Linked DNA regions of Nothobranchius furzeri. The protein of the gene in region 1 interacts with the protein of each later gene in a pairwise test. Links are inferred from orthologs where the notes say so. Each region holds a gene or a part of one and is shown in the gene's direction. Other genes may lie near its edges.

Region 1 (4,088 bases):
TTTTTTAGATTTTATCCCATGTATTAAGGGGGAATTGGTACCTGGGTGTTTCTATTATTTCTGTGTATTTTTGGCCTCCTTTCTGTTTTCACTTTCGTTTTTATATTTGAATCTTTATTTTAATGTTGCTAGAATTGTTTTATTTTATTTTATAAATCGTTTTACAATTTTAAATTATTTAAAATGTGATAAATTTACCACGTTTGTGAATTTTATTTTGAAAGGCAAGACAAGACTACTTTATTTATAGAGCACATTTCAAACGCAAAGGCAGTTCAATGTGCTTTACAATTATCAGGACATAATGTGAAAACAACATAAAAACACAAATTGAAATACACACAGTTTAGAGCTAAAGGAGAAGACAACGTTACAAGGCAGGTTTCAGTGAAGATATATAAGAAACTATTCATTTAAAGGCTGGTCAGTACATTAGGGTTTTTGATTTAAACAACACTAGGGTTGGGGCAGATCTGAGTCACGGAGACGCTGATTCCATATGCGAGCAGCATAGTAACTAAATGCATCTCCACCATGTTTTGTTCTGACCTGAGGTTCTACCAGCTGACTGTTTATCTCCGAGCCCTGTTGGGTGTATATCCAGGAATGAGATCGGACATGTATTTTGGTCCCATGCCACTGATAAACTAGTAGGATCACTTTGAAGTCTATTCTGTAGTTTACTGGTAACCAGTGTAGAGAGTGATGTGCTCCGTTCTCTTAGTTCTTGTGAAGACTCTAGCAGCAGCATTCTGAACAAGCTGCAGTTGCTTCACAGCTTTTTGGGGAAGACCAGTTAGGAAAGGCGCTTTATAAAAGCCTTTGTTGTTGTTCTTCTTCTTTTAATTTTTTATTTGACTCTTAACATTTAGAGTAAACTTTCAAAATTTAGATTTAATTTTAATAACTTAGACATGAATGTATATATCTGGACTTGGTTGGATCTTATATGTTGTTTATTTTACTTATAATAATCTGATTGAATTCTAAACATTGGATTTTAACTGCTGTTTTACATTCGGCTCCCCATACCTGAACTTTTAGGAAGTAAATCATTATTGATGAGGAAATAATTTCCTTTTTTCTTATATTATATAATATACGGAATGCTATATATCTAAGTATTTGAATCTGTCCTTATAGTGGACTGATTGCAGCGCAGATGTTATTCCCTTGGTAATAATTTCCCTGTTCCTTCCTCCATGACGTGTTTGCGTCAGGATGACAGGAGGAATCAGCGCTTTGCGCTCCAGGATGGATCTTTAGATGGCGCTGTGAGTAAACAAGCCGCAGCTGCGCTCAGACCGAAGTCAGCTCCACTCCGAGGATCCAATCAACTCAACATCTTTGGTTTTCTGCTGCTGCTGAAATCCCAGAACATTTCCCAGCCTTATTAGAGGCTTCCTCCAGGACTGGGTCGTGAAACCTCCTCCTGCTGGTACCAGTGCACTTGTCCACCTGCTGTCTGTCTGCAGGAGCCAGGATTCCGCTGAAGTTGCTCCCAGCAGCAGCGGTAGCGCGCCGCGGACATCAGTCAGAAGTTGCGCGTCTCCACCTACATCCACCACCGCTTTCCACGCGATCATTCGCGCAAATGAGCGCGATGTTAGAGAGAACTGGCGCTGTGTTTGCGTGCGGAAAATGATTGCGGCCATCGGTGAGCTTTCCATGATGGTGAGGAGATGCCCTGTCACTTTCAAGCCGTTCAGGTGAGAGCGCCGCACATCTGCACGGACCAACCTGGTGCATTTTCGCTGAATCAAACTTTATTCCACCTTTGCATTTGCTGCATCTGTCTATAACTTGTGCGGAAAACCGACCTTAAGATCTGCAGATGCTGCAATTTCATATCAAATAATAATTTTAATCTCATTGTGCAAAAACTGCAGCAAGCATTGCAAAATGCATGAATTAAAAAAATGAATTCAGCCAATTCTGCATGCTCGGTCCACTTAATTTGGACAGAAACTCCAGGCTGATCCACAATTAAAGCTTTGCTTACTCAGCTCAAACGGTGTGAGCCAAGTAAACAGTCACCTCATCAAAGCGCTCAAGATGCTCCAAACTTGGGAGATTTGCATATTTAATAATCAGCCCTTCTGTCTCTAGCTGTACAATCATGGTGAGCAACCTGAGACTTGTTTTCCACCATTATCATTATCAGGCTGCAGCGAAGGATCATAAATAAAAACATGATAGAAGAATGTGTTTTAAACCCGAGTGTGACAGCCTGTCCTCCAGCTCCACTCAGCACGACTGCCTTCAGACGAGTCGAAGTGAGGAAAATCATTCCACAGCACTGGAGACATATTTACAGCGCAGCTTATGTTTGCAGCTTCCATTCGTCTGTGGATGAGTGCGTTTATTTTGGCTGTTTGCACCCACTGAGTACCGTGGAACGTAGAAACACGGTTCGTTTGAAATCAACTAAGCACATTCTGTCATTTGAGGAACTTGTCCATGCTTTATAAATCCTCCCCCATCCATATGGGCTTGAAATTACTACCCTATCTTTTGTTTTAGCTGCTTGTATTCCCTGAGCTCTAACCATGTAATTTGCCCCCTTTGAAGCTAATTTCTCCTTTTTCCTGCAGGATCTTTGTAGCGGGGGTTGGCTTCTTCAGCCTGTGCTTTCTAATGACCTCTCTCGGGGGCCAGTTCTTGGCCAAGCGACCCGGAGACTCGCCGTTCACCATGCGAGCTGAAGGTAAGTCTCACATGAGTGACTCCAGCGGATGTGTCCTGCACTGGTAATGAGCAGGCTGGAAACACGCTCAGAGATCCGTGGGGCTGGCTTGATTGCTGCCAGGGGACCCGCTCACCCCCTTCATCAGGAGAACTCGGAGGGGGAGAATCCTGTCTTCTCATCTGACCAAACTCTGACCCACATAGATTTATTTTTGGCAAAAATGAATCGCAGTTTTACGGAAAGTCAGATTGATCTTTAATAATCAAAAGGCGGCGATGAAGTGTTGGTCGTTTGAAACAAATTCAAATGCAGATTTCAGTATCAGACAACGATGAGCAAAGACAACACAAAAACTCATTTAGCGAAATAAATCTTGATGATCTCCTAAAGCGTTGAGGGAGAAGGTTTAGTGGAATAGAGAGTGAAAGTCTTATTTCCTGGGAGGTGTGTGTTTTATTACATTTCAAGTAAAACTAAAACAGCATTTCAGAAAAAGCATCACACCAGCAATCAGACATGCTGGTGGTCTGGGGCCGTTTCAGACCACTTGATGTAACCGATGAATTCATGACTTCTGCTCTTCACTGGAAAATTATGAAGGTCCAAGCCTGACCTTTGATCTTAAACATGCCGTTTGTGCTAGAAAACCCTTTATATGTAGAAATGTAGCCCGACCCAGACACAGAGCTCAGTTGTAGTGGAGGAATCCACAGTTGTCTTTCAGACTGTCTCCATGCGCAATCAAACATGTTGGGATTAATCGGAATGTCAGACATATGCACCACTACAGAAATCCGGCAACGGGACAATCCACCATAGCCTGGCCAGCCATGCCAATGCTTCCTTATGGAAAGCAAACATCCTCTGTGTAAAGTAGACAGGGCGAGTCTGGCAGGCCAGAAAAACATCCGACATTCAATTTAGAACCAAATATACGAGTGCCCCGGGTCAGACTTGGGAAACTCTTTATTTGAGCTTTTTTTTTTTTTAAACATACAGGCACACCTGTGGAAAACTCATCTGTTAGGTGGGATGGATCATCTTGGCAAAGGAGAAGTGCTCACTAACAGATTTGGACAGATTTTGGAAACTATTAGCACTTACACACTCACACTTATCAGCTCCACTCCGCTCCTCTCTGCCGCGTCCACCCTGGCCCGGCCGCGTTCCTTCCACACTGCCTTAGGAATGCAGACAAAATTGAGAACGTGGGCGGTCTTTGGTCTGTGATGTCATCAGCGCAACACTGAGCATGTGGGCGGGGCAAAGTCTGCGTTGTCTCCATAATCAAACAAAAGTGACCCGAGCTGTTTTGCTTTTGGAGACTCTCTAACTCTGATATTGCATGCTCTATCTGGCAGCAGTGTGTGTGTGTGTGTGTGTGTGTGTGTGTGTGTGT
Region 2 (4,233 bases), on another chromosome or scaffold:
GCTTGTAAAATAAGCAAAAATCTTGTTTTAGAGAGGCGCGAAAACAAAGTTCCAGGCAGGAGGGGTGTAATGGGAAAAAATTGGACTAGCTGTTAGCTCATCAATCTTGTAAGTTTTCAAACTAATAGTGTTCACTTAGTAAAGTTCACTTTATAACTTTAGTCCCCCCCAAAAAAAAGAACATTTGAAAAAAATTTACTTGGATGGTCTTAAATCTTAAAGTGTCCAAATTGTCTCGTTAATGGGGAGCTGGTGTTAGAAACTGGGCAGAACAGCTGCTAACGTGAGAGGAGCCGAGAAGGAGCCTGAAGGAGGTCTGATGGAGGCCCGCAACTCCTCTTTAATCCTTCTGTCTCAGAGCGGAGCTTTGCTTTGTGCGCAGCTCTTGGCTGCATTAAAAAAGAAAACGGGATCAAACAAATTTCACACTTTCTGTAAAGTTTCTGGTCAGAGGAAGCTGCGCACGTGAAGCTAAAGCTGGAATTATTGATCCAAAACGGATTCAAACGCTTCTAAGTAAATCAATGTTTTTATTCTAATAATGAAAACTCATAAAGGGTTTTGAATACTTTAATCTGCTCGGCCGCCTACCTGACCTACATCCTCTGCTCGGATACACACACTCACACATACACATACACACACACACTCACACATACAAACACACACGGAAAACATTAACCTAATTACCAGCTTTAATTGATTTCTATGATTTTTCGGAGCGTCGCTTTAACCTACATTATACACTTATTTTGTATTAAAATAAACTTTTGATCGGAGATTAAAAGTTAAATAAAATATTTTTGTCTGTTTAAGTAACTCAAAAACTGTTAACGGGTGTAATCTGAGCAACGTTAAAGATTCAGTAGCTAAAATAAAATAAAATGTAATATATGTGATTTAAATAAATAAATGTAGCTAAACATATGAGTCAGAATCCATATGGATTAGGAATGATTATTTCCTGTTTGGAGATGAAAACAATAAAAAGTAATTTTAAAATAAAGTTAAAAAATACTTTTTTCAGATATTCGACCTTCACTTATTATTATTATTATTATTATTATTATTATTATTTTCGATTAGATCTTTTTACCTTCTTCAAGTTGTGTTTTCATCTGCTACATTTATCAGTAATAACAATAATTATAATATTTAAATTGAAGCAACCGCTAAAATACAGAAATCAGGTTTCAAACATTTTGCAATCGAAAAACTGTTTTAAATCCTAATGAAATAAATGACGAAAATGAAAAAAAGTGGGAAATCGATGCCGAATAAAGCTGTGAAGACTCGGTCATACCGAAGATGCGGGAGGATGAAGAAGGTGACGGGGTGGGAGACTAGGGAGGGATGTGTGACGTCACGTTGGGGCTGTGCAGTAGAGAGCCAAAGAAGAAAACCAAGGCAACAACTCGGAGCTAACCAAAGCGCCGATCACCGAGGACGCAGCGTTTACGCACAGGCAACGCTAAACTGGATTTACTGGGACACCTGCATGGGACACCGTGAGGCGTTTTTACTTTTACTCTTTCGTCTGCTGGGAAACAACTGGTGAGAAAAACACGTGCGTGTGATTTTAGGCGATTGGAGACTTAACAGCTCAATTAGTAGCGTTTTTACGCACCGGGCTCACGAAGAGCTATAAATGCGACAATTCATGCCGCTGTGATCAGTGTAAACTGCGCGTGTTCCTATCTGGTTGGAGGTCAAAGAGGCAGGAGAGGATTAAGCTAAAATAACCGTTTTATAGAGAACACGCATCTGCGTTCAGATCAGCGCTGGTGATGGGAGATAGAGAGGACACGAACAGCAAATATATTCCTGCATCTGTGGATGCGCGTGCGTGCGTGCATATGTGTGTGTGGTGTTAGGGGCGAAAGTAAACTGTCTCTAGGTCAGTGATGTTACTGTTGGGCCCAAAACACGAGATGAATGAATGAATGAATGAATGAATGAATGAATGAATGATAGAAAAGCATTCAGTGGCAGGCTGTCAGGTGGAGCTGCTGCTCTGTAAATATTGGCTGATTTTCGCTTGGTTCCTTCAAAGTTGTTCTTTCACATTTCCTTGTAAAACCATGTTTGAGGATTGGAAAAATGACAAGAAATCAGCAGTGATACACCAGCGTGTTGGTTCAACTTAAAATGACATTAATAAATAAAGTTAATATGTTTTGTCCTCTGGTTTTGTTTTTCAGGTAACTGGAATGGAACTGAATTTGTCCAAGAATGTGATTTCCTGTGGGGACCCAGGTAAGAGGATGCTGCAGGTTTAAAATGTTTGTGAATTAGAGATTTCTCCATCTTTTACGCTCAAAAAGCTGCTTTGCTCAGGGAGCTATGAAATGTGGAACTGGGAGATGCAAATTAATTTTCTGTCCGGTTTTTTAAAAAACGAGAAAAAATACCCTCTTTTGGAATTATCTAGGAACTGTTTTATGTAAACATTGTCTTTAATTAAAATATTTTCAACTAACCAAACTTTAAGATTTCAGAGTTTAACAAAAACAATTAAAGATTAAAAAAACATTAACAAATGTAAACTCGTGCGCAATTTAAGAGGGTTTGGACATTTAAATTGTGTAATACGCTGGTATATTTTGTCAGTTTAGAAAAAAAATTCTAAAAAATGCAACAGTGCGTAAAATTGGAGTTGTCACCAAGAGAAGTACAGTTATTTTATTTTAATCATGATTGTAGAAACTTTAGAGAACGTTTAAATGATTTATAAGTAATTTATTGGGTTCATTGGGAATGCTGACATGTTTTTCTAAATTGAGAATGAGTTTTGCCAATTAGCAGCTGTTTTAATTACTCAGACTGTCTCTTTGTGGGTTTAGGCTGGTAGTCACACTGCGGGTCAAACAGGCCTTTTAGACCCGAGCAGGGAAAACATCACCAAGGCAATAATCTGCTCTGTCCTTCTCCAGTTACGCACCGTCTCCAGTTACATCTCCGCTGCCTTCCAGTTTTTTGCTGCTTTGTTTTCTCTTGCGCGCTCCCCTTTGCTGTGCGGAGAAATAAAACACAAATACTGTAATTTTATGTGATGAACAGCGTTCGCAGGGTTTATTTTGACTTCTTAGAGAGAAAAACATGAGTGTTTGCGCTGTCGCTGGCCTTTAACCTGTCCTGCCGGATGGAAAGACTTTTTAACTCATCCATCACACGCAAGTGCCCTCCAGAACGGAGAAGGACGCGGGCAGGGATGGAGGCTGGGTATTTAGATTAACACCATTTATCACACAGCCGTATGAAGCTCAGAGATCTCTGGAGCTGAGGTGGCGAGACTCCCAAGCGCAGTAAATCCCATAATACTCCAAAGCGGACCAGAGGGGTCGTTGGGTTTACGCAGATTTCAACTGATCTGCATAAATGTAGACTTCCAAAATTCTAACGTGCATGTATGTTGATGCAATTTTGGATTCTTCTTTAAATGAGAGGCCAGATGATGAAAATAACGCTGATTTCACGAAATGCCGCAAAATCTTGCGTGATTTATGATAATTAACATATATGAATTACTGACACATCTCCGTTTGTGCAACCTATCGCGTTTGATGAGTAGGATGTTGGATGAGACTGGACTGCATCCAATATATTTTTTAATTCGCCCAGTGCTTAATGGGGCATTTTTCTAAGGGACCAACATAGGCTGAACCTTATAATCATTTCGCATGCAAACAGTCGGTGATAATTACATCTATTATTGGTCACGTGACAATGCTGCGTCCAGATGAAGCTTTTGAGTTCCTGTGCAAAATACATCAGAGATGAAAAAACATTTACGCACAGACGCAGTGGTGTTTGTTTGCGTGCTGACACATCTTTATATACCAAACTATTTTAAATAAATAAATAAACCATCTTTAGTTTTAAACTTCCCAAACCACTGAAGTGAAATTCACCCTAAATTCCAAAATCACCAGATCTTATTTGAGAGTATTCCTCCGGCAGGCCAGCACAGGCCCTCAGATCGGATGCGTTCCTGTCACTAAAACACGCAGCGTGTGGAGAGGATGAAGAGCAGATGGCAAAAGCCAAGCGATTGCTGAGAGCTTTCACAATTGTTTGGTATAGGGCCTTCGGGGGTGTTTCCTGGTTGGACGGGGATCTTATGTCAGAAGTCAGTCATACAATGGTCGGCAGTGGCGCCGGAGACGCTGCGTGGTCCAGACTTGATTTTACCCGAACCAGCGCCCCGGTTAGGCAGCAGACGCACCAAACTAA
Region 3 (4,156 bases), on another chromosome or scaffold:
CACTCCGTGGCATGAATGAGGCGGACATTAAAGAGAGCAATTGTGGCGTAATGTGCACAAATAAAAACCCCACTTACGTTTTCATGCGGGACTCCCCGATTCCTAAGCTAAAAGGGGCCGAGCTCTCTGCGTGCGTTTGGTAATAATTCATTTTTATGGCTTGTTTAACACGCGGCTCTGACTCGGAGACAGCAGCAGCAGCAGCTCAGGTTAAAGCTGCTCTTATTTAGCGTCGCTTCTCCACTCACACTGGTGGAATCTGTGATTTTTTTTATTTAAAGACAAGACTGGTTTGTGTGCGTTTCAAACCCCTCACTTCAATAAAGGGATTATGAACATTTTAGCACTCTTGCGCAGCTTTGATTGGATTTATGGGAACTCAATAATCCAGTTTAACTCAGAATCACTAAAAAACACCAGTTGAGATGAAAGCTGCAGTGATTTTTCAAAACGTGTCAAACTTAGCCGAAAGCAGAAAATCAGCTCTAACTTTGGCTGTGTGCGTGTGTGGGTGTGTGTGTGTGCGCGCGCGCGCGCGTGTGTTCAGATGAGGGGGTGGTAGGAGGAAGCAGGGGGCAGATGCTGCTCTCCTGCACTACGGGCCTGCATAACCAAATCATTCCGAGACAGCGCGCCTTTTCTGCGCCCCCGCGGCCACACAAAGAGCCGCGGAATCTCCGCGGGGCCCGGCTGGCCTCAAGCAGCAGAGACGCGATGGATCCTCCGCGCCCACTCACTACAGAGGCAGCTGCTGGAGAGGGGTGGGGGTGGAATGGAAACCAGTTCGTCTCTCTCTCTCTCTCTCTCTCTCTCTCTCTCTCTCTCTCTCTCTCTCTCTCTCTCTCTCTCTCTCTCTCTCTCTCTCTCTCTCTCTCTCTCTCTCTCTCTCTCTCTCTCTCTCTCTCCCTCCCTCTGCTATGTAGTTTGCAACAAGTCTTTGAACATTTTCACATCTAATTTTGTTTTTCTAACATCCTAAAACATTACATTTAAGACAAAGTAGAACTACATTTGACTAATGGAAAAAAGCTGCACATTTGAATGTTGCTAATATTTTACTGATACTGCTTGTTTGAGTACCAGTGAGACAACTTAGACGTTTGTAGGAAAAATAAATAGAGTGTAAAATCTGAATCACGCTTTTCTGAGCTGAATTAATCTACTTAATAACAGAAGCACGTTTATTTAAGTGCATGTCTATCTTCAGCCTGAGGGGGCGCTCATCCCTCCATCTGATCCTTCCCTTCGCCCTCCCTCCCTCCCTCTCCTCTATTCCTTCCTCGGTTAGAGGTTGGGCATCTGCTACAACCCCCTCACTCCCCTCCGCTCTCGCGCCTCCCGTGACCATTCGTTTTCCCAGCAGCTTTATTTGATGAACTTAACAGGATAATCAGCCCACTCGCACCTCGGGCTACATATGCGCATTAGCAGGCTTCGCATTATTATATCATTTGATCACCATACATGCATAATGAATACATGCGGGACTGGAACTCTGGTAGATGGCTGACCTATGACCCGAGAACGGAACAAAACATTAATATCACATCACCTTAATGGTTTTGTCTCCTAATCACGTTTGTGCGCTACTTCAGGCACATTTTAAACGTAATTTGAGCTTTTTGCGCATCCTTTTGCGGTGTTTTATGAATATATGACCGGATCATCTCTCCTCGTAACGTGAAATGCACAAACCTGCTCCTGCTGCGACCTTAAGAGGAAACGAAATTCTGCTGGAAGGTGGCTTGGTGCGATGGGATGGATGTATTTAACAGGGGAAACACGTCCTCTCCATCACATTGTAACAATATTTGCCCAGAAAATCCCTTAATGTTCCAGCGTGAAACATTTCACATCGGAATGGGACATTAATAGCCTAAAGATAGCCCGCGGCTGCAGCGAGCGCGCGCACTCTCAGCCATCCATCCTTCCTGGACAGAATGACACATGCGACACCAGGGCTTATACGCACGGAGACGCCAACACACGCGCGCACGCACACAGACTCACACTTCTCTGTTCTAAAAATACCTGAGGTCAGAGTGCAGAGCGGTCCACCTTGGATGACATCTCTCCTCAGTGTGAGATTGCGCAGCAGGGGGGTTAAAAGACACCGGGTTCACCGTCTCAGCAGCTCCTCGTGTGTCCCGGAGCTGTCCACCTCCGTCTGCCTCCCAGCCCATTGTTTGCTCGGCCAATACATTAGTGGCGACGCGCGTCACCTTGATCGACGAGCGCCTGGAATTTAAATAGCCCCTCAAACACCAATCTGTCACCGGCTAAAGGGACAAGGACCCTCACTGGCTGACCCGTGCCCACGTGACAGTGCCCGTTCATTGATATCCCCAGCACCCCCCTCCCTGCACTGATAGGGACAGAAAGGTAAAGGTTGGCACGGTCACTTTAGGGTGAGAGTGTGGAGAGATCAGAGGGGGAGAGGACAGTCTCCTGGTCCCAGACTAACGATGCTACAATGAGCAGCTTCCTAGATTACTCGGTGATGAGCGGTGAGGGTGGCTCATGTTCGATCAGGGCTTTCCACTCGGACCACGGGATTACAACTTTCCAGTCCTGCGGGGCTGCAATCAGCAGCTGCGGGGCGGATGAGCACTTCATGGCAAACAGGACTTCCCCTGACAGCATCCCTCACCAGCCGGCCTCTTACCAGCCTACTGCCACCTCTATGGGTCTCTCCTATGGGGCCCACCCGGCCTGTGGCTCTAACTATGGGCCCCAAAGTTTCTGCGCCACGTACAACCACTACACACTCAACCAGGAAGTAGACTCTGCACCTGCATTCCCCCAGTGCAGCCCTTTGATGTTTTCAGGTAACATCTCTTCCTCCATGGTGTCTCAGCATCGCCATGGCTACAGTGCTGCCACCTTGGGCCAGCTGCAGTATGCTGCTTATGGCGGGGGTCATGAACAGGCACCTTCTTATCCTGGGGCCTCCAACCCGCTGTCACCTCTGCATGCAGCTCACCTGGAAGCTTGCTGCTCACCTCTGTCAGAGAGCGCATCTTCTGCGCAGACTTTCGACTGGATGAAAGTCAAAAGAAATCCACCGAAAACAGGTGGGTGCAGAGCTGTACCAGCACGAGGGAGATAGGTGGGAATCTAGTCTGTTGCTATTATTGGTTTTAATTGGTTTTAATCGGTCAAGCAGACTGGAATCCACACAGGAGATGTTGACACTGCGAGCGCGTTGACGCGCAAACGCATTAAATGTCCATGTTTCCACTTCAAGCGTGCGCCCCTTTCTTTTAAAAGTTGGTTTAAAGACATTTGTCTTTAACTATAGAGTGTGTTTTATATGTAAAATAATTAGGTTTTCTTTGCCTGCTGCGTAAAAGTTGGTTCTTTTGGATAATCGCACAGTTTGTGCGTCCTTTGGGTGAGAAAATAAACTTGAATCCCTCTTCCTGTCCCCAGGTCGCTCCGGCGAGTACGGCTATGCGGGCCAGCCAAACATCGTCCGGACCAACTTCACCACCAAGCAGCTGACAGAGCTGGAAAAAGAATTCCACTTCAACAAATACCTGACCCGGGCGCGCCGAGTGGAGATTGCTGCTGCGCTGCAGCTGAATGAGACTCAGGTGAAGATTTGGTTTCAGAATCGGAGGATGAAGCAGAAAAAGCGCGAGAAAGAGGGGATGCTGCCGGCTAAGGTCCAGTCATCGCACCCGGAAGAAATAAATCAAGAGAAATTAGACGATGCCGCTTCTGAGAGGTCCGTCTCAGCGCCGTCCACGCCCTCTCCCAGCTCATCCACGGTGTCCTCCACTGGCACGGACACGTACACCTCTACCTGAGCAGCCTATCTGGGCCACACGGGCCTGTAAATACCAACGTTTAAATGTATCAAAACCAGAGTCTTTGTTCGTGAATGACATTGTGTGAACATTTATTAAAGTTAGTCCTCCATCCGGGAGCTTTTGGATCACCCTGGAGCTTTAGGTTTAAATTGTGCAATGTGTCTGCAAGAACATCTCTGTATCTTCAGATAAGTTTGATCTGTAACGTGAGCAAAAAAAGGCAGACACGAGTCTGCAAACGAAAACAAATGTAAAGTGGTGTATCCGGGTCATGGCGGGTATGCAGCGCAGGGTGCTGTTAAGTGAGCAACGCAATGACCTAGTACGCGCGCGTGTACTCT
Region 4 (4,291 bases), on another chromosome or scaffold:
AGAGCATTTATAAAGCTGAGGTTTTTCAGGAACTCGATCAGCAACAGCAGCGGGCTGCCCAGGATGTGCCTGCTTTAAATCGGCCGGTGCTGACTGGTATCAGCCGGGTCCCGAGTCTACACCGGAGCGCAGATACTTTTAGGAATTTAAAGGATTAAGTTTTATTTATTTGTTTTTTAGATATTTCTTTATCCATAATTCCGCTTTTATTTGTTTATTTTTTCCATGTTCCCGTTTTTATTTTAAATCATCCTAAAACGCAGCCGGAGTACAAACCTCTGTTGTGTTTTACACAGCGGAGCATAAAACACGAGTGCTGCAGCAGCATGTAATTAGAACCGGGAAGCGGCCCGGCCCGGTCCGGGTTCTGCTGCTCCAACGGTGCGGTGTAAACTTTTATCTGGGTTTGTGTTTTTCCTCTTTATCCAAGAACAACATGAATAAATTTATTATGCGTCCACCTGCAGCCTCCCACTCCCACAAATCTACTGGTCCGGCACAAACTGCGGAGCCTCTAGTCACCTTGAGATTCCTTCTGCTGTTTTCCAATTAAAAGCTTAATAGTCCCGCAGACGGGATCCAGGCGGGAAGTTTACCGGCTCCTATTCAGCAGAAGCCACACCGCGCCGCTCCGATCCCATTATTTGCTTGAATAAACCTTTTTTACGGTCAGAAATGAGCCCCGGCTTTGTCCGGTGTTATGTTTCAATGCCCTCTATTAGTCCGGCAGAGGGGACTCGTCAGCGGGCTCCACACGGGCCCCAGAGGGGCCCTCAGACCCACAGAGAGCTAATCAGGCATCAGCGTTTAGTCTTTAGCTGCAGAGATCGGATCTTTACAGGTGATGGCTTTAACCTTTGACCTTTGAAAGAGCAGATTTTAGACCCCTCATCTGAAACTGAGATGAAACATGGTTGGATTAAACTTTAAATATGTATTATTATTATTATTGTTGTAGTTAATAAAAAAATAATAATGTTATTAATATTTATATTTATTAGCTTATCATTAATGTCGGTGTTGGGGACATAATAAAATAATTAGGGAGAAAAGTTTTTATGGACATCAAAGGGTTAAATAATCTCTCATTTTTGGGCTAAATCATCAAAAATATTTATGATTTATTTAATAATAAAAACATTTCCGGTTTTAGTTTTTTTACATTTTCTTATTTTAGGTAAAATTATTTGTTTCCAGTTTTTATTTAGTTGATTTTTAGTTTTTTTGTTGTTGTTTTTTTGGTGAAATTTCACAAACTTTCTGTTTCAGACAAACAATTAACGTCTGATGTAAGGTTGTTTGTTCCCGTTAACCGGATCTCAGACCGGAAACGGGGCGCGAGCCCCCTTTTTTTCTGCCTCGCGCTGACACCTTTTGCAGCGCGTTGACGCGTTTGGTTACTCGTCTCCAGAGGAGCGTGTCCGCCGGATCCTTATCAGCTGGACCCTCCACCCCAAGCCAACACCTCCTCCTGTCATGCGTGCAGCAGCGGAGCTCCATCCTGCTCCTCCGCGTGTCTGAGCTCCTCCTCACATGTTCTGCGTCCTCCCGGAGAACTCGCTGCGACCCACAGGATGAACGGCTACGGGTCCCCCTACCTCTACATGGGGGCCCCGGTGTCCCAGCCCCGGGCCCCGCTGCAGAGGACCCCCAAGTGCGCGCGCTGCCGGAACCACGGCGTGCTCTCGTGGCTCAAAGGTCACAAGCGCTACTGTCGCTTCAAGGACTGCACCTGCGAGAAGTGCATCCTGATCATCGAGCGGCAGCGCGTGATGGCGGCGCAGGTGGCGCTGCGGAGGCAGCAGGCCAACGAGAGCCTGGAGAGCCTCATCCCGGAGTCCCTCAGAGTGCTGCCCGGCATGGGCATGAGCGGGGCAGGCGAGGCGAGCCAGGGGGCCCCGCCGAGGACAGAGGAGCTGGAGCTGCGGTGGAGCGGCTCGGAACCGCTGCAGGCCGGAGCGCAAACACGCACAGGTAGGAGAGGCAGAACCGAACCGAACCGAAAGGTTCGTTCAGACCGGAACGAGTCCGAACTGCAGAATTTTAGTCTGTAACTGAAACATCAGAGTTTACATACGTTTTTGTTCAAGGATCAAACTTTTATAGAATAAACAGATGATTGTCTGCAGCTTTTATTTATTAAAACATTTAAAATGTTAAAAAGACTAAACTATTATCTGGAATCGTGATGTAATCATCAACCCTTTGATGCATGAATTATGAAATCTTCAACCATGATTTTTAAACTATTTTTTCATTCATCTTTAGGTGTGAATGAAACAAATTTCAACAACATTTTATTTGTAACATTTAATAATGTACAAATAACATTACATTTCCACCTTAGTGGACAGCTTGCATTCTGAACATGTTGGCTTGCCCTACTGAAGTCCAAATGGAGGGGCTCAAATGCAACAAAGTCTTCAACAGCTGCTTAAACAAGTAAATACCAACCTGTCCACTGTAGTGGCCATTATGCATCAAAGGGTTCATTATGAATAAATCTGAACATTTTCAATAAACACGTTTAAAAAACAGTTGGTAAAAAACAAGTAAAGAATTTACTAAATTTGTTTTATTTCAGATCCTTTTCTTAATTTAATCATATTATTAGTTTTGGTTGTTTTTGATCAGAAATGTTTGTTTTGTGGGTAAAATGCCATTTTATGACATGTTTGTGAGTAAACATCCTCGAGTTTTATTAAAATTCCTTTTTTATTTTAGTTTTGGATTTATTTGTTTATTTAGATTTTTATTAAACAAATAAAATGTTTTATTTTTTTAGAATTTTTAAATTTTGTTTTTAATTCACCTTCTTCCTTTGAAAGTTCGTGAGTTTGGTTAAAACTCTGATTTGGACTCGACCTGCTGCAGAAGCGGACCGAATCCAGATAAATGGTACCGGAACACAGAACTTCAGTTAATTAATTTGCTAATTGGACAAAAAATATATATCTACTTGAGGTTCTGCAGATGAACAGAACCAAGACTGTGTGGTCCATTAAAGTCTAACCGAACTGGACCAGAACCATTGAGCTAAGTTCTGATGCTTGCGTTGCAGAGCCCGCGGAGGACGGTCCGGAGGAGGGCTCGGGAGGAGAGAACGGAGGCAGCTCTAGTGAGAAGGAGCAGGACCCGGTCAGCTCCCCTGAAGGATCCAAACCGAACTCCTGTTACACCCCCGAACCCTCAGAACCCGCCCCCCACCCAGAGGAGACCCGCTACAGCCTCTCCAAAGCCGGAGGCTCCGAGAAGGAGGTGAAGGCCGAGAGTCCCCAGAGGGTCCCCCCCGGAGAGCAGGTGGAGGGTCTCTGCGGGCCCGGGCCCTTCAGCCTCCGAACCAACAGGCCCCCCCTGGAGGTTCTGAAGAAGATCTTCCCGTCCCACAAGCCCCCGGTGCTGGAGCTCATCCTGCGGGGCTGTGGGGGGGACCTGGTGGGGGCCATCGAGGTGCTGCTGTCCAGCCGGAACCCCGATGGGAGCGCGCACGCGCACACGGATCCGCTCCCGGACGGCCTGGTTCTGCCCTCTAACGGACACCTGTTCGAACCCCTGGGCTCCTACCACCCGGTGTCCTCCTCCGCCAAGTGGTCCGTGGGCTCCGCCTTCCGGGTCCCGGACTCGCTCCGGTTCGCGTCGGATTCCTCCGTGCCCACCGGCCCGCTGGGCGTCCCGCTGCAGCACCCGTCCTTCCCGCAGCCCGCTCGGTACCCGCTGATGCTGCGGAACTCTCTGACCCGCAGCCAGACCAGCCCGTTCGTGCACAACGACGTGACCCTTTGGAACACGGTGGCCCTGCAGCACCAGTACCAGCTCCGGTCCACCCAGTACGTGTCTCCCTTCACACCGGCCGCCCCCGCCGGTTCCGGGACGTCCGTGTTCCGCGGCTCTCCGCTGGTCTCCTCCAGAACCTCCGAGGAGCAGCGCATCAGCATCCAGGAGGAGGCCTGCTCCCTGGGGCCCAAACCGGGCCTCTACTCCCCGGATGAGGAGTACGAGGAGCGCTCGGACTCCGCGGACTCCCGCATCCTGAACTCATCCACCTGAAACCTTCCGGGACCGAGCAGAACCGGAAATGGACCTGTGCGTGTTTTTCTGTGTGTCAAACAATCAGAACCAGGTCCGGGGGTGATGACGTCAGCCACCGGACCGCCTGCATGTTTTCACTGTGCATGTGGAATGAGCCAAAATAACCCGAAATGGACCGGAACCGATTGTTTTCATGTGTTGTTGAATAAATTATTGAGGGTTCGGCCTGGACGTGTTTGTGGTTCTGATGGGACTTTTTCCA

The links.
Region 2: the proteins of alpha-1,6-mannosylglycoprotein 6-beta-N-acetylglucosaminyltransferase B (region 1) and pitx1 interact in a two-hybrid assay, tested with the Homo sapiens proteins (2 studies listed by BioGRID). The link is inferred for Nothobranchius furzeri from reciprocal best matches to the Homo sapiens genes MGAT5B and PITX1.
Region 3: the proteins of alpha-1,6-mannosylglycoprotein 6-beta-N-acetylglucosaminyltransferase B (region 1) and hoxa1a interact in a two-hybrid assay, tested with the Homo sapiens proteins (2 studies listed by BioGRID). The two-hybrid records come from large-scale screens. The link is inferred for Nothobranchius furzeri from reciprocal best matches to the Homo sapiens genes MGAT5B and HOXA1.
Region 4: the proteins of alpha-1,6-mannosylglycoprotein 6-beta-N-acetylglucosaminyltransferase B (region 1) and dmrt3a interact in a two-hybrid assay, tested with the Homo sapiens proteins (2 studies listed by BioGRID). The two-hybrid records come from large-scale screens. The link is inferred for Nothobranchius furzeri from reciprocal best matches to the Homo sapiens genes MGAT5B and DMRT3.

Annotation. Positions count from the first base shown.
Region 1 is NC_091752.1:49,892,042-49,896,129, forward strand, and holds the start of alpha-1,6-mannosylglycoprotein 6-beta-N-acetylglucosaminyltransferase B, read left to right. Parts: upstream 1-1,240; 5' UTR 1,241-1,641; coding exon 1,642-1,709; intron 1,710-2,594; coding exon 2,595-2,707; intron 2,708-4,088. UniProt on the Homo sapiens protein: Glycosyltransferase that acts on alpha-linked mannose of N-glycans and O-mannosyl glycans.
Region 2 is NC_091750.1:54,396,650-54,400,882, forward strand, and holds the start of pitx1 (pituitary homeobox 1), read left to right. Parts: upstream 1-1,408; 5' UTR 1,409-1,554; intron 1,555-2,201; 5' UTR 2,202-2,210; coding exon 2,211-2,256; intron 2,257-4,233. UniProt on the Homo sapiens protein: Sequence-specific transcription factor that binds gene promoters and activates their transcription. May play a role in the development of anterior structures, and in particular, the brain and facies and in specifying the identity or structure of hindlimb.
Region 3 is NC_091751.1:29,552,065-29,556,220, reverse strand, and holds the start of hoxa1a (homeobox protein Hox-A1a), read left to right. Parts: upstream 1-1,305; 5' UTR 1,306-2,473; coding exon 2,474-3,074; intron 3,075-3,432; coding exon 3,433-3,812; 3' UTR 3,813-4,156. UniProt on the Homo sapiens protein: Sequence-specific transcription factor. Regulates multiple developmental processes including brainstem, inner and outer ear, abducens nerve and cardiovascular development and morphogenesis as well as cognition and behavior.
Region 4 is NC_091750.1:37,736,859-37,741,149, forward strand, and holds dmrt3a (doublesex- and mab-3-related transcription factor 3a), read left to right. Parts: upstream 1-1,457; 5' UTR 1,458-1,574; coding exon 1,575-2,006; intron 2,007-3,061; coding exon of another isoform or gene 3,062-3,084; coding exon 3,085-4,047; 3' UTR 4,048-4,173; downstream 4,174-4,291. UniProt on the Homo sapiens protein: Probable transcription factor that plays a role in configuring the spinal circuits controlling stride in vertebrates.